Lepisosteus oculatus: one gene and its partner. The protein of the gene in region 2 interacts with the protein of the main gene of each other region in a pairwise test. Links are inferred from orthologs where the notes say so. Each region holds a gene or a part of one and is shown on either strand. Other genes may lie near its edges.

Region 1 (7,922 bases), on a different chromosome or scaffold from region 2:
ACAGCTTTAGTCTGGCCCCAGAGCTCAGTTCCTCTGTTGGCTAATTCCCATGATGTGCTACAGCACTCGCAGGCAGAATATACCAACCGCCACCGCCAGGATGGTATATTTTTATTTTTTATTATTCTGTAACTGGAGAAGGCCTTTGTTGTTTAAAAACCTGTTAAATGTAGTATAGTACGGTTGAATAAAAGAAATGCCCATGTATTACCGAGGACACGCAGGTGTTTACAATTTCTCAATAAAATTTGCGAACGCTTGCACCTCTCATGTGTGGATGTGGTACAGGCCATTCCGGCCTCGCTTGGTTAAGTGCCTTATTGACTCGATGTCTTAGAGACTGTTCTTTTTTGTAAAGGTGGAACCACAATTTCAGACGTTAAGGAAGCGTAACAAAGAACAGATCCTCAACAACTACATGTTTAAATGTGAACATTTAAATTTGTGGCTTGCGCCGCGTGCAATTTTCCACGTTTTGTAAGAGGGAGAAACAGTTCAACTGAAACCCTTACGTAGGTAAATGAGTAATTAAGGCTAAAGCATACCCGCGCACTTATATCCCCAAAATAGATTAAGGACTTCACAAGTGCATAGTTAATCGTTTAACTTTTTTTCCCATTTTTAAATATCCAATTCACGTATACAACAGCTTAGTGAGCTTGTCATAGGACGCTAGGGTAAGGAATAAATATGTCGTTTTAATCATCTATAACAAGACAGGGTGAGGAAAACAGAGATGAGAGAACCATTAGGTAACTGTGGTAACTATCATAAAATGGACCACATTTTTTTACATTTCATTTTTGAAACTTTACATAGAATGCATGGCAATACTTTGATTATTTCTTTTTACTTTAATCCCATGAGTAACTCCCATCAGAAGCAGTTGTCCATATAGTGTAATAAACTAAGAAAAATGTGAGGAGAAAGGAGGTACTTTATAGAGTGATTCAAAAAGTACAGCATCCAGTTAAAGAAATGGAGCACAGTTAAGTGAATATTTCCAACCATATAGGGTTTGGTTAAAACAGAATATCCCAGAACACAAGAAAGAGAAAAAAAGAAAATGGAAAGAAAAATAAATGCAATGGAGAGTAATAAATAAAGTTTTATTTTGTTAAGTATTGTGTCATGTTGTGACACGTATCATGTCGGCAAAAGAATGGTGCAGGATAAAAATTATGTCTCAGAGATTATGATAATGGCAAAGTTTCTGAGATGATAAAGGAAATGGCTGATGAATGAATATTTCCCTGGGGTCTTCGGCAAGGAAGAGATCAACAACATGCCCCAAGCATGGGAAAGATGAAGTTCTATATTTAATAGTATTAGCATTAAAATGGCAGGAATGTTGTGGATACTAGAAGCACTGAATACTGCATATACAAAGCTGTAGTCATCTTTCAATCGTAATTAAGAAGACAAGATATTTCTCAATGCAAAGAGATTTTTACTGATTTAGTCAGTGATTTTCATGTGCAAAAGTGTTTTGTGTCCTGGTGGATGGTATATCTGTGTGGTACTGCTAATATTAGTGGTACAGTGTTATTTGCTCATATGTCAGTCTAAATGGAGTAAGCCACTAGCTGAGGGACTCTGGGAAACCTAGTGTAGCGAACAAGTTTGTTAATCAAGTAATTAATAATGGATCAGCTGATCCTTACCACTGAGGTGATGTAAAATCTTGGAACAGCTGTGGGTCAAGTCAGAAAATCTGTATGAAATTACTGAGAAAGAAGCCAGAGTTTAACCTGTGTCAATGAAATATTGGCACTGTTCCTGAGGCAGGATTTGCTTGGCTCACATGGTGTAGCCTTCAATGTAGCTTTCTGTTTGAGTGGAAAGGATGTGGGAGATGGTTAAGGTAAGATGTGTTTGTCATGTACTCTTGTGCAAGCCTTTCTTCTTCTTCTTCCCCTCGTTTCTGTTTGTCTGTCTCCTTTCTCAGTCATTATCTCCAGTCCTGCTCCTTATCTCCTTGTCTGTGTCTCTCTACTTTCCTGAGATTTTTCTCTCCCTCTCAGATGGAATTTTCCCCGGTGTTGTTGAGTCCTGATGAGGGTGTGACTGGGTGTGACCTTTCTTGACCTTCTCTTTGTGTTTGTTCATGGCCTGGTAACTCCTCCCCAGTGTCCCCCCTGCTATTCAAGCTGCAGTGCTGACATGCTGGCAGGTAGGCTGCCGGGGGTGAGCTGGACACTCTCTGCATCCTCCTGCCCCATGCTGACATGTGCTGGGTGAAAGGTGGACCGAGCCAGTTCAGCAGAGTTGACCACCACCAGGAACTCGGCTCCATGCTAGTACTGTAGGCCTTCTGTGCCTGACACTCAGGTACAGCCCAGTGGCAGCAGCGTTCACTGAAAACAGCAAATCAATTTACAGTAAATCAGTTGTGAAAGCAGAGCCAGGGCGTTCTCAAAGGCAATGACATTTCAAATAAAATAAACTCAATTTCCATTAAGTATATCCAGAAAGGACATTTTAGCCTTCATTGTCCTTTCAGGAAGACAGTTCCAAAGCCAATGAGTTTATTGACTGAAAGCACTGCACATAAAAACACCCAAAGCATCCAACGCCTACAGTACAAAACATGGAAACTTATTTTCTTCATCCAAGGCATGGATTTCAATGCATTAATAACTTTAAACTCAAGAGGCACTTACGGCTAAACCTGAGAGGAAACTTTATGTATTTATACACTCCAGTATGAACCTACTTACTCTCCATTTGTAGGTATGGAGCTCGTAATTGCAAAGTGGGTATTTGATGATCTGGCACATAGGGAGCCATACTGATTAGTAATGTAGCCTTCTCCTCTTGAAATCAATGCAATACCTAGTGGTTGCCTAGTGGTAAGATTTGAAAGAGATCACACGTTGAGTAAATGAAAGGTTTAATTTGTCAGGACTAATCTTGCCCTTTTCAGGGAAGGTCATGTCAGAAAGGATGTCAATTATTTTCTTAGGCAGCAGTGGGCAAACAGGAGGCATAAGGCACCATGACAAGGTGCGCACAAAGACAAGACACAAACTTGTAAAGAAGGACATTACATTCATGAATCTTTATAGCTATAATAATTAATAATAATTGCTTACATTTATATAGCGCTTTTCTGGACACTCCACTCAAAGCGCTTTACAGGCAATGGGGATCCCCTCCACCACCACCAATGTGCAGCATCCACCTGGATGATGCGACGGCAGCCATAGTGCGCCAGAACGCCCACCACACATCAGCCATCAGTGGGGAGGAGAGCAGAGTAATTAAGCCAATTTATAGAGAACAATTTATACGTGGTGAACAAAAACACAATATCAGAGCGTAACAGCAGTTGGAAACGAGAGGAGACCCATCCTGGAAATTAACAGCTAATTGATCAGAAGAACTCGTCCAGCCATTTCTTGGAGGAAGAGTATGTTTCTCTTTCAGCATGGCTGGGTAGCTTGTTCCACATTGCCACATGCCTTTGCATAAAGAAATACCCTCCGTTCGCAGTTTTATATCCATTTCTATGTAGATTCTTCTTGTGTCCTCTAGTAACGTCCTAAGAACAGCTTCTAAATTATGGTAGTGCGCATCATAAACAGCTAACTGTGCAATGTCCCAGAACGCAATGCACCTCTGCACTATACACTTTTGACTTGGGCTACCGTGTGTTTTTGTTCACCACGTATAAATTGTTCTCTACCGTGTTTGTATTGTTCTGGTTGTTTATTGACTGTACACACTATCACTTTCTATTCTGAAACATTTTGTAATGTACTGTCTACATTGTGAGGTGTTTTCTGTTGGACTGTGTTGTTTGCTGTACTGAGATAAACACGTGAAGAAGAATTCCAATGTACATGTACATGTGGCAATAAACTCCTCTACTCTACTTTGTGTTTTATCATTTGTTATTGTCAACACAGATATTACAGAAGAAATAACATTAGCCTGTTTAGTGGTTTGTGCTATATCAATCACAGTTGTTAGAAGAACAGCTCACATGATTGGAGCCGATTTTTGACATTAAAATGTGAGGTATTTCAATATGTACAGTATGGGTTTTGTACAGGGACACCATTTGTTAGTGTGTTATTTTGTGATCATAGCACACCGTCTCCCACTTATTTTTAAACCCAGATTTCCTTATGATGACATTCTTCATCATTGGTTATTGTGAGACTGCATTTTAATCATCACTGTTACTAAAAATTATCGTTGTGTAAAAGAATGTATACGTTTCAATCAAAAGTATTGAGATTAATTACACCAAAGATGGTACTTCTTAATGAAACGTCAGTGTCCAAATAACATGGTAAGATGTCTTCCTGATGTGTTGTGGTTGTTTTTAATTCACTTTGAATAACGGACACACACAAATGCATCATTTATTAGTGGGAAATTATTTTGTTTTAAATGCCGAATGTTTGTATAAGACTTCAATTATTTTGCACTTAAAACAAATGTGCGGTGATAGAATAACGCGGTTACAACACATTTCAAATGTTATTCCTTTTTCCACCTCAAAAGGGTCGACGGGCAAGTTAGAAATCACGCCGTTTCCGAAAACCCCAAAACTCTGCAGTCCTCGACACCCCCACCTTCAACTCACAACAGACAGCCATGTTGGCTCTAGCTTCGGGATTAGATCAAGGAACGGGAACAGGCTCTGTTTCAGGAGCCAAAATGACCCGCGTTTCATTCAACACCGTGGGGTTTGCTCGGAGCCAAGAGAAACTAGGGGAGGGAGCGAACGTCCTCTAGCTGTGATCGGATAGGCGATCGGTTAGTTGCGACTGCGGACGACGGGAAGGCAGTGAGGAAGGCGAAGAAAAAAAAGTGTCTTTTTTTACCTCCTCCGACAGAGAACCAACATCCCTCATGATCTCATGAATAAATTATAGCAACCCATTGTGCAACACCGAGGGAGGTAAAGCCGTGGAGTCGAGGCAAATACTGCCTGTGCACAGAGCAGCGAAACGAGTCGCGTTGTATGTAGGCTAACTCTCACTCTCCACTCATGCAGTGTCCGGGGACGATCTCTAGCGAAGCTCCCCGCAAGCCACCCGCGTCCAGGCTGAGCTCCGGAGCTCTGTCGCGTTGCTAAATAACGAGAGCCGAGAACAGGGGGGGAAAACGAAGGATTACAAGAAATAACGACATGGAAAATACAACTTAGCCGAGGTAATCGAGGACTGCGAGCGAAAAAGGGGGAAAAGGAGGAGAGGAGCGGAGGAGGGGGGGGGGAGGTAAGGTTAAAAAAAAGAACACGCACCGTTCCGAGTGGGGAGTGGAGGACGGAGGAGAAGCTGCTCTCGCCTTCCGCGCAGTGCAATATTTAAAAGGAGTAGCGCGTGCTGCTGCCCGGAGATTCCTGCAGTCTGAACCCCGGCGCGCGGCGACCGCAGGCAGTTCGCGTCCAAGGTAAGAGACTGACGCTGCGTCCACATTGTTGCTGCCATCGGCGGCTGCTCCGTGTTTGATGTGCGTATATGAGTGTGTGCGTGTGGTTTTGTTTTGTTTTTACCACGATGTATTGATTTATAATCGTGCTCCGGGGAGAGGGCGAATGAACGGACAACCCGATCTGCGATACCGGATCGGCGTGGGCTTTGATTTTTTTGTTGTTGTTAGAGTGTGAGAAATCCGAAATAAGAAAACAGTTTTTTTTTTTGCCGTCGTTTTTAATGGTCGTTTTCGTGTAGTTCGCGGTGTGTTACAGGCGCTTTAACAAAGGCCCCGCGGTCGAGACACCTGGTGTGCCTTTGGGAAATACCACATTTCTAAGAAGGAAAGAAAGAAAGAGAGAACTAGTTCCCGTACATCAGTGTGTGTTGGTATTACAAGGACGTACAAAATGTCTTCCAATTGTTATTTCATTCTGGGCACACGTTACTGTGCGACTGAGCTGGCTGTACCTAGCCTGCCTGAGTACGACCTGCCTGCCCGATGTCTGGCAGTCACGTTTTTTGGGGGGTCTTTTTTTGTGCTATTTACCCTCCTCGTACTTTTCTGCGTCTTGTCACTCGAGATGGGGATGCCGTGAGAAATGTTTTTGTGCTGTAGCGAGGGTATTTTAAATGGTGCTGGTTGGATACCTGCCGAGCTCTGGAGACCTGTACCCAGCATGCGACGTGAATGATGCCGCGGTTTCGTGACGAAAAGCAAGATTGGCCAGTTTCGTAGTTTTGTTTTTCTCCCCCAAGGATGTTGGCTTCTGATGATGAAGCCCGTCAAAAGAATTCAGCAGAGCGAGTCAGAAACTGTTAAGATCTAAGTTCTTGGCTGTAGAGTACGCTTTCTCTGGTAGATGGAGTAGTTATTACAGTAGAAAGTTTCCAGGTGTTGAGCATGTATCTTGTCGGTAGTTGGCTATGGAGGCAATTTTGTGTACACTTTTTTTTGTCGTCTCCTCGGAATTCAGCACAGACTTTCTTGTTCTCGGAGGGCTACGATTATCGTATTGTAGCCCACTTTTGAGACGGCGTCCACCAGCGCACTGAACCCCCTCATCCGATCGCGTCTTGTGGCGGACAGCTGGGTCGATACCACACCTCCACCTGCTCCTCACAGCACGGATCACTCGCCCATGGCTGTCCACCAAAACTCAGGCAGCGTGTGTCGGTGACTTGTTAAAAGCCCTGTGCAAAAACGTCATCGGACTGACCGCCTGACCCTATCGTTTGTCACTGCAAGAGTTTTAAAAAGAGTTCGCTCAGAAATGGAGACGACTGCCCAAATGCCATTGACTAATCTGTTACCTGTTAGCATCTGCGAGCAGGGCTGCATCTCGGTTTTGTTCAGAGACGGCTGCGGCTCTCAGTGTTGATTACTCATAATATGCTAAAGTTCAGATGGCGTTTTGTGTTTTCACGAGTGCGAGGACCCTGAGCTCACTCTGTCCATGTGGGTGGGTAGCGTTCGACCCGGGGTTGCTGACTGTGCTGTGAATTATTGATAACGGTACATGACATTTTGTGCCAAACTCTGTGCTTAAGACCTGTCGAGAGAAATATGCTAGTGCAGACTTATGCTCGGGTGTGACATTTTGCTTTCAGTAAGTGATTTAGTAATAGATCACTCCTGGGGTGACATGAGGGTATTTTTTGTTTGTAGGAGTTAGAGTGAGTAATATTTTGTGAGGTGACTTTGGAATAAAAAAAAAGTTAACTCTAAGTGAGTGCTGCTGTGTTCTGTTACACTGTGTAGTAGTTCATGATGCTTTCATACTTATGTGCTTTAGTGCTTATTGTAATAAAAGCTCCCGAGACAGGTCAGTGCTGTGTGTATCCTGCTGTGGGACTCATTTCTCTTGGAGGGGCTGAAACGCCCTGGCGAAGTACCAGTTCTCTGATCAAGGGACTCGGCGATGTCTGGGGTGAAATGAATTTTGTGTGGCCACTGTTTCTTTCAGACGCGGGGTTGAAATGCACGCGCTGGCGCTGTGCGGATAGTTTCGGGATTGTGCCCTTTCTCTCCTGTGCGTCAGGGTGAGACTCGCTTGTGCCCTCTGCCCAGCTCAGTCAAGGCTGTCCTGTCTGCTGCGAAACCGTCGCCTGCCGAGCTTTTCGAGAGGCAAGTTTGATTAGGCTGAATGTGGATGGCCTTGCCAACTCATTGAACACCCCTCTCTCTCACACACACACACAGATCTGGTAGCTCTCCCATCTTTTTTTCCCTGTTCTCCTAAATGAGGAGTGTCCTGAGCTCGGCTCGGCCCCGCCCCGCTGCCAGTGGTCCGACTGGTCAGTCTTGCCACGTCTTTCCAGCTCGGGGGGGCTGGGTGGATGGACGTGCTAGGACAATTGTGTGCTCTGTGCCCCCCTCCTGCCCGAGCTGCCCCACTCTCTCAGCCTGGGACGCTGCGAGTGGGAGAAGAGAAGGGGAGCAGCTGGTTTGAACTGTGATGCGTCTCTGTCTCGCCCCTGGCTGCGAGG
Region 2 (8,322 bases):
ATTAATAATAAACACTAAAGTACATAGTGCAAGATGAGAAGCGTACATCACTTTATGTTTTAAAAATTAAATAATGTATTCATTATTGTGTCTTCAGTTATGAATGCATATATGCCCTAGAACAGATGGATAACAAAATGCTCTATTTATCAGTTATCAGTTATCCACAGTTAAAGACAGGATATTGCCATGCAGGCATCATTACTGATTGAGCTGTTGAAGAGCTACTCAATTTATAAAAACATCTTGACTAGCTAAACTTGTTGAAGGAAGTTTTCTTTAATTAATTTCACCACTACCACTCTTTCAGTTTCTCTTTCCTTAAACCTGCCCACTTGCCTGTCTCCGCAACTTCAGAAATGCTTTTCCAGAACGACAGTTCTTTAATGGTTACTATTTAGTCCTGGCACGTTTTCTATTTCTCCAGTACTGAGTGACACTTTCCACTAGGAAAAGCAATATCATCGTGACTTACATAACATTCTATTTTTAAGCACTGCTTATCCATAACAACATAAGAACAGTTACAATGCAAGCAGAATGAATGTTGCAGCAGAATACTTTGTGAGGAGCTTTATTTGAAATGATAAAATGCAGGTTAGGACCTGTGTCTGAATATTTTGCAGAGTTAAAAACAAAACAGTGCTGTGCATCTTACTTTCCACCCAGCTGATGTTCTTTAAGGCAAAGTTCAACATAACTTTTGTGTAATAAAACAATTCTAGAGGCCTTTTTCACACAAGAACAACACATGGTCCTGTTGCTGCAAGCCTACATGGGCTAATATTCCAAAATTTAGCCAGATCAGTTTCATTTATGACAATGGACAGCTTGCAATCAAGCAAAACAATACTTTGAAATCACTTCTTGCTGTTTTGTCAAAATCGGTTCCATCTCTGTGATCCTAACAGGCCACTAAAGGGCTTGTAGTTACAGGTAATGCGTCACTATGTAGTGTTGTTCATACAACTCTGTAATCTGTGCTCTCCACATACACCAGGAACATCCATCTATCCATCATCAGAAAAGCACATATTTGTGGTAAGAGACTTCACCCTGGATAGGATGTATGTTCATCACAACGTATGCCCAGACACACAGGCACAAATTACAGACACCAACTAACGAAGCCAGTACGTCTTTGGAGGGCATGTGGAGCTGTGGAGCGCCCTTCATGGAAACATGGGGAGACTTTACACAGACTGGCACTGAACTCAGGGCCCGGGAACCACAGGGCACCCATACTAACCACCATGGCGCCCCATCAAAAGTAATATTCCAAACAGAAATAAGACAAAAACCTGATTTCCATCGAAACCTTACAAGCTGAAACATTCTCTCGACACAAGTCAATTTATCTTCTGCTCTTAATCATTTCCTGTGGTTGCACATGGCACAGACTTAAGGAGCGACAGTGCTGAGAATCAAGGAGCAGGACCCAGAAGGTGTGTTGATGGAAAACATCTGCTGTGTGTGTGTGTGTGTGGGTGGACAAGGACCACGTATCACCCTCAATCTGGGACAAAATATGAGAAATTGCCCCGGCACAGGTGGACACTCCTGACACACCACACGTGAAAGTCCACAAAATGAAAATGAATGTATTTTTTGCAAATCAAATGCCATCTTCCTTAAACCAAAAGGCAGTAAGACCACTTCATTCAGATCTACGTTTACCATGTGTATAGCTGCATTTCCACGCTGGAAAGAACAGAAAAAGGGAGCAAAACCTGTCTTCTCCAGCATCTAAACTATGCTCCACCCAGCCTTCTTCAAATGTACAGGATATTCTAAAAATCTGTATCCACTCAATATGTCCGTGTGTGATTGTAAGTACACGCTGAATATTACTGATCTATCAGCGCCATAATGGGGAATAAAATGTTTTTTAATTGCTTTCAAAACAAATCAGGAAATACAATTTTGGAGGGCTTTGAGCAATAACTGAAAAACAAATATACAGAACACACCAGTAGCAGGAGTAAAAAAAATATTTCAAAATTCAGGTGGTTCTGAGATATAATTTACACAGCAGGTTAATCTATTGTAGGAGGCCTGAAATTGAGTGTCACGAACTTGCAGTTCTTCACTTCATATATTACAGAACGTGATATTTGATATTTGCTTTTGACACGATCATTACAAAAAAAAATCTATTTAAGTTATAAAGCCATCTCAACACCACTGGAGATAATTTAATAAAAGCTTGCTTAATGAAAGTCACCCCTGCAAGAAACGTAGTATCTTAAAATAATCATCACTGTAAATGTGCCATCGACTAATAATGATGAAACGACGACTCAACTGGTAGGATATACCAGAAATACAGTAGTTTGCTTTGCTACTAAGCGTACACTGTGGCTTGTCAAAAATGTGTTCACGATTCGTCTTTGCTAAGCGTTTTAAAAACGAAAAAGTGTCTTAGAGCAACCGCAGGTCTGTAGAGACCTGATCAATCAAGACATACCAATCTGACTTTGCAACCAAAAACGTCCATCGTAGCCGACGTGCAAAAGTCGTTTACACACCAAAATCTCACTTGCCTGGCATGACCAAAAGCATGTAAATTCGCTTGCTTTTGCAAAATTATATCACCCTAACAAATAAAAAAAATATCTGAAGGAATACCAACCATATATGGTTGCAAATGGAGTTCAGCAACATTCGTATAAAATACAAAACAAGCGGAAAAATATTTTCAGGAGCAACAGCGGAAATACTCCATTTTATTTGACAGCAATGCCTATCGAGTAAATAATAATAATATGAAGACACAGGTTTCACAAAATAAAATTAACAGCAGGCGATCACTGGGGAAGATCGCCTACACGGAGACTTTTGAAGTAGGCCCCGGCGCTCCAGTGCACTTAGCAATGAACAGAGACATTAAAATGTCTATCGTAAGGTTACTGGTACAAACAGAAACACAATGTTAAAATGCATACATGCATTCTGCATAGAAGGCGGGGAGGGGGGGGGGACAATATTTCTACGGAAAATGACTATCGCTCGGACCCCCGTCTCCAGCCCGACTCCGGCAGCACAATACCAGCAGCGTCAGTTCGGTTTATATTACCGTGTGAATGATGAATTCTCGTGTTGTTTGTTAGGGATTCCGATAATGGCGTCCTTCCTCGCGAGAGGAAAAAAAAAAAAGAGCCCAGGCCGGCTCCTGCGCGCTCCGCTCCCCTCGCGCTGCCTGCTCTGCGGCGGCGCAGTGGCTCGGGCGCTCTGCGGGGAGGGGGCGGGGCCGGCGGGTGTAGGCGAGCCGGTCCGTTTCGGGCGCCTTCCGTTTGCTTCCTGTGTGGCTACAACAACAACAACGACACCTTTCCACGAAAAAAAAAAAAGGGGGCCCTGTTAACTTCTCTGGTTTTCCGAAACTGCTTCGACTTCGGCGCGGAGCCCTGCAGACGAGCCGCGGAGATAACGAGTGACGTTGAGGTGCTTTGTGGGGGACAAGGACTCGTACCGTGATGCGAGCAAACCGTTGGGATTTTATTTCTGTGTCCATCAGAAGTTCGGGGTTTTGTTCAGGTCCAAGGGCTACTGTTTTAGGCGATGTGGAAGATTGTATGTGTACTGGGGTAGAATCAACTACTGAGTACTTAACGGTATTCCAGGTCTCGTCGTAAGTTCGTATTCCTTTAAAAAAAAAAGACATGCAAAAGCTTATATTGAGGTTATAGTACCTGCAAATCCGTTTACCATTCTGCAACATCATACAGTGGGTATAGAAAGGCACCACCTCCTTTCACAATTTGTACCTTTTGTTGCATGACACTGAAAATAAAAACAAATTAAACGAGGCTTGTTCCATTTTTTTATTTACACACGGTAACCCACATTAGCCAAGCGATAATAAAATTCTAAAGCATTCTAAAAAATTAATTAGTATTACAACAGTAAAATACCTTATTTGGGTAAGTGAACACCCCCTTTACAACTGCATTTGTAAACGTGCTCAGGTATAACCAATCACCTTGCAGATCACACAACAAACGAATTGACTCCCACCTATGATCAATTGTGTGCACATGACAACAATATCACAAGCGCTCCACAAAACTGACCTGTATGGAAGGGTGGCGAGAAAAAAGCCACATAAAAGCACCTTAAAGACACTGTGGCCAAGTGGCAAAAGGTGCTGTGGTCAGCTGAGACCAAAATCAAACCTTTTTGCCAGAATACAAAATGGTATGTCTGGCAAAAACCCAATACATCTTACCACCCAGAGAACACCATTCCTACAGTAAAGCACTGTGGTGCCAGCATCTTGTTGTGGGGGTATATCTCTTCTGCTGGAACAGGGGCACTTCTCAGGATAGAAGGGAAGATGGATGGTGCAAAATACAGGCAAATCCTTGAAGAAAACCTGCAGCCGTCGGCCAGGAAGTTGAAAATGGGAAGATGGTTCACCTTTCAACGTAACAATGACCCACAGCACACCACCAAAGCAACCATACAGTGACTGAAGGACAGGAAGGTGAATGTCCTTGAGTGGTCTAGTCAGAGCCCAGACCTCAATCCCATCGAAAATCTTTGACTTGAAGAGGGCAGTCCATCAAGTCACCACGCAGTTTGAGCTTGAAATATTCTGTGAGGAGGAATGGGCAAATATTCCTCCCTCTAGGTGTGCAAAGTTGGTAGAGGTGTATCCAAACAGACCTCAGGCTGTAACCAAGCAAAAGGTGCTTCCAGGTATGAACTGGCAGGGGATGTCCTCTTATCCAATCCAGTTATTCTATTTTTATTTGCAGAATTTTTTTTTTCACTTGGTTGTTGCTTATCATTTACTCGCTTGCAATTTTTGTGCAATTATTCACGACAAATTCTAGTATTTTGAACAAAAGACTGAAATCTTTTTTTAAAAATTATAGCAACACAGGAGGCCTTGTTTTAGGTGAAATCATTTAACATTTTACAATGAATATATGAATTAGTTAATTCCCTCTGCAGTTTCACACTTGCTTAATTTTATTAGTTTTAACATGTGTTCATGATTTCTTAATTTTCTAACTTTGAAAATGTTTAGGTTTCTGAACCCCGGGCTGAACAGGGTTAGCAATGCAGATCAGACATGAAATCTTGTAAGATCCTACATCCAAACCGTTGATGCTGTTTGAACTTTAAATTCTCCTGCTTCAGTTATTAAGCCTCCCATCGTGAGCATCTGTTTTATAATTCTGTTTGCTGAATGTAAGGTTAATGTTTATGTATGCATGTAATTGCTTTGCTTCTTTGCAAAGGTCACTTGACCTTTGTGATAATTTCTAAGCAGGTCAAAACACAACATTTTGGACTTTCATTTCTTTTTATTGACACTTCTATCTGAACAATTTCTGATCGGGGTCTGCCTGTACAAAAGGGAACTCCTCCACTGGTGTCTGGTTTCTGGATGGCCAGCAGCTGTCTCTGCAGGTGTAAATGAGCACAATCCCAAACTCCACCGTCCAGTCTAGAGGAGCAAGAGAAGAGCCAGTGTCTCAGAGACAAAGGTGTTTGCAATGGCTGACCACAGGAGAATAGAAGGATTGGCTATGAAATTCAAACCATACAAGCTGCCTTTAACAATGAACAAGTTCTGTAATTTCTCTACACTACTTTTCACTGAGGTCTGTGCTTTTGCTTGATATTCATCAGGAATAACACCACCCGAGCATTAAGTGTGTTGAAAAAATACAGAGTGCTAGTCACAGTAAATTTGGCCTAACCCGCCTGGCTGAGAGACAGAGAGCCCCCCATGTAGAGAGGAGGTGTGAACTTAGAAGCAGCTGCGAATGTAGAAATGGGGTAAAAGGATGTAAAAAGACTAATGCAAATGAGAGAAGGGACTTAGGTATAATTATTCCAGTTTTTTTAACTTGAGGAAATTACATCAGGATTAAGATTTAGGCTAATTGAAGTTGGCTGCTGTCACCCCTCCTGAATTTTCATTGGAAACTTGCATGTTATGCATCTTTTTCTACCCAAGCAATGAAATCCTGCTTGCCAATTTGGATAAAGATTTCCTTCTTAATCCGACACCCACCGTCTTCATTGGCGCCGCGGAGCATGCTGACCAGCGCGGGCATGAGCTGAAACTCGAAGATTCTGGGGCTCCCGCAGTGAGCGCAGGGGGGGACCGTCTTCTGCATGTGGGAGGGAGGGCAGGTAATGAACACGGGCTGCCCATTCCAACAATACCTGCAAAACAGGACAGCTGTGGTTGATAAAGACAAACGGGCAAGGATCCTTATTACTCTGTCCCCACCCACTACTGCCCTGTGCTTTGTAATTTTACAGGCCTGACATTTCCAGGAAAACTACTTCCCGTATAATTATTATTTGGCAGATGCCTGAGAGAAGTACCTTTGCTCTGGAATCTTGGGAGTCCACAGTCAAACAGCTTTGAAAGTGACTCATGGGTGTAAGTGCTTCCTACCGTAATTCATTTACTGGCAAGCGCTTTTGCTTAAAAAATCTAAATTAATGTAATTCTCTGAAAGTGAAGGTGCCCTATTGAAAACTACAATTTTTTACCCTACGCCTCTATAGTTCTTCTGACAATTAAGTGTTAAGTTGTGCACTAATCCAAAGCTGAAAATACTAAAATATACATACTGTTCACATACATCTTCTTGCCAGTCATTTGTATGTTTTGTGACTGGAAAATAGTGCTGCACTTCGCAGGATTATGGAATTCATGACATCCAGTGAAAATTAAGTGATGTTTGCATTGATTCATGGAATAATGGTGGATGTGCATGATGCAGTGAAGTTAGCCATCAACACTGCCAAAACCTCTCTGATCTGAGGTTGTATTTTCATTTGTCTGTAAAAGTGTGAATGCGGGAAAAGTCTCTTTACCTTAACACCTGCCCTGGACACAGCGAGATCGTCTTCATGAACCTGAAGAACTCCTTGTCCCCATGCCTGGCTTTAGTTTTCTCGTATTTTTCTACCTCCCCTCCAGCATCACAGCTGAAATGACGACATGAAAACACGGTTTCAACTTCGGTACTTAATGGTATTTTTTAAGACTTATATTATCAGCTGCAGTTAACAGTGTGAGAAAGGAATCAATGTGACTTTTTAAATGGATATTTGCAGTGGAATCTTAATCTGTTCAGAAGTTTTTCATTTATGTTTATTTCTGTACTTTTTGGGAAGAGAGATTGTTTATAAATGTCAGGTCAGGTCAAGCGCTTTGACCCTTTTCCCATCTTACAATTAGACAGCAACATTATTACCGTGTAGGCAGATCTCAAAAGCAGAGCAACACTGAGATTGGCCAGCAGGGGGAAAAGATATCTCATGTATTAGGAAAACCAAGTTGATGCTGTAAATGACATATTGACATATCAGAAATGTGAGTTCTTCCCTCTAGACCTTGACTTCCAAGCTAATGTCCCAGTGTGCGAAGTGCACAGACTGTGCTGGAGGAGGTTTCCATCCTTGAGATAAAACATTTAACCGAAATCCTGACTAGTTGATCATCCACAGTTGCACTGTTCATTTGCCTAGTCTGTCCTGCCTAAAGTTCCCCCTTTGTGTCCCTCACAGTTCTCCATCTTATTTGTTGCTGTTGCATAATGGCTGCTATATGTTACCCAGATGGATGCTGTACTTGTGGTAGATGAAATGGGTCCTCTTCTATATGTGCCTTTGGGATGAGAAATACTATACAAATGCAAGCCATCATTATTATAACAACGCCACAGTTAATATGCTCAATGCACAGTCCAACTATTATTTGTATGTTTCTAGCTGTGGTCTAAAACTCCAATATAGGGAAATATTAACAAAATGACTGAAAGCACCTTCACCTTTCTGTATCCGGCAGGTCATACCTTAACAGGTCTTCTAACACCACGCCCTCCCTCTTCTCGTACTCGCTCAGCAGCTCCTGAGCATGCGCCATGTCATCCTCAGCGCAGAGCCCCTCCTCCGCCAGCACATCCATGTAGTAGGGCTGGAAAGCAGGTACAGGACCGGAGAGAACCAGGCCCTCCCCTTCTCTCATCTCCTCCTCCAGGCTCAGGCCCTGCAGCCTGCTGCTGACACTGCGGTCAGAGGCACTGGCCTGGGGCGGCGCTGGGGCAGCACCAGCAGGCAGGCTGGGGGAGAAGCCTGTGGTGCCCTGGTCCTCATCCACCCCCCAGTCATCTGCTCCTTCACACCAGTCTCTGTTTGCCATGGGCACCTCCTAGGTGAAGCATTAGAAACAACACCCCCCCTTAGGGCGAGAGCAGAGGCGGAGACACGAGCGCAGAAGGTGTCCTGGAGCTGCGGCATTGGTTTTGTTGGTTGCAGATGCTACAAGTCTCTGTAGCTTTTGGG

The links.
Region 1: the proteins of banp (region 2) and zmiz2 interact in binary tests that used the Homo sapiens proteins (3 or more experiments, as listed by UniProt). The two-hybrid records come from large-scale screens. The link is inferred for Lepisosteus oculatus from reciprocal best matches to the Homo sapiens genes BANP and ZMIZ2.

Annotation. Positions count from the first base shown.
Region 1 is NC_090697.1:69,337,822-69,345,743, forward strand, and holds the start of zmiz2 (zinc finger MIZ domain-containing protein 2), read left to right. Parts: upstream 1-4,787; 5' UTR 4,788-5,409; intron 5,410-7,922. UniProt on the Homo sapiens protein: Increases ligand-dependent transcriptional activity of AR and other nuclear hormone receptors.
Region 2 is NC_090715.1:13,363,112-13,371,433, reverse strand, and holds the start of banp (protein BANP), read right to left. Parts: upstream 3,214-8,322; 5' UTR 3,077-3,213; intron 1-3,076. Other genes in the region: pdcd2l (programmed cell death protein 2-like), read right to left, coding at 5,328-5,458, 6,032-6,186, 6,850-6,963, 7,833-8,188. UniProt on the Homo sapiens protein: Controls V(D)J recombination during T-cell development by repressing T-cell receptor (TCR) beta enhancer function. Binds to scaffold/matrix attachment region beta (S/MARbeta), an ATC-rich DNA sequence located upstream of the TCR beta enhancer.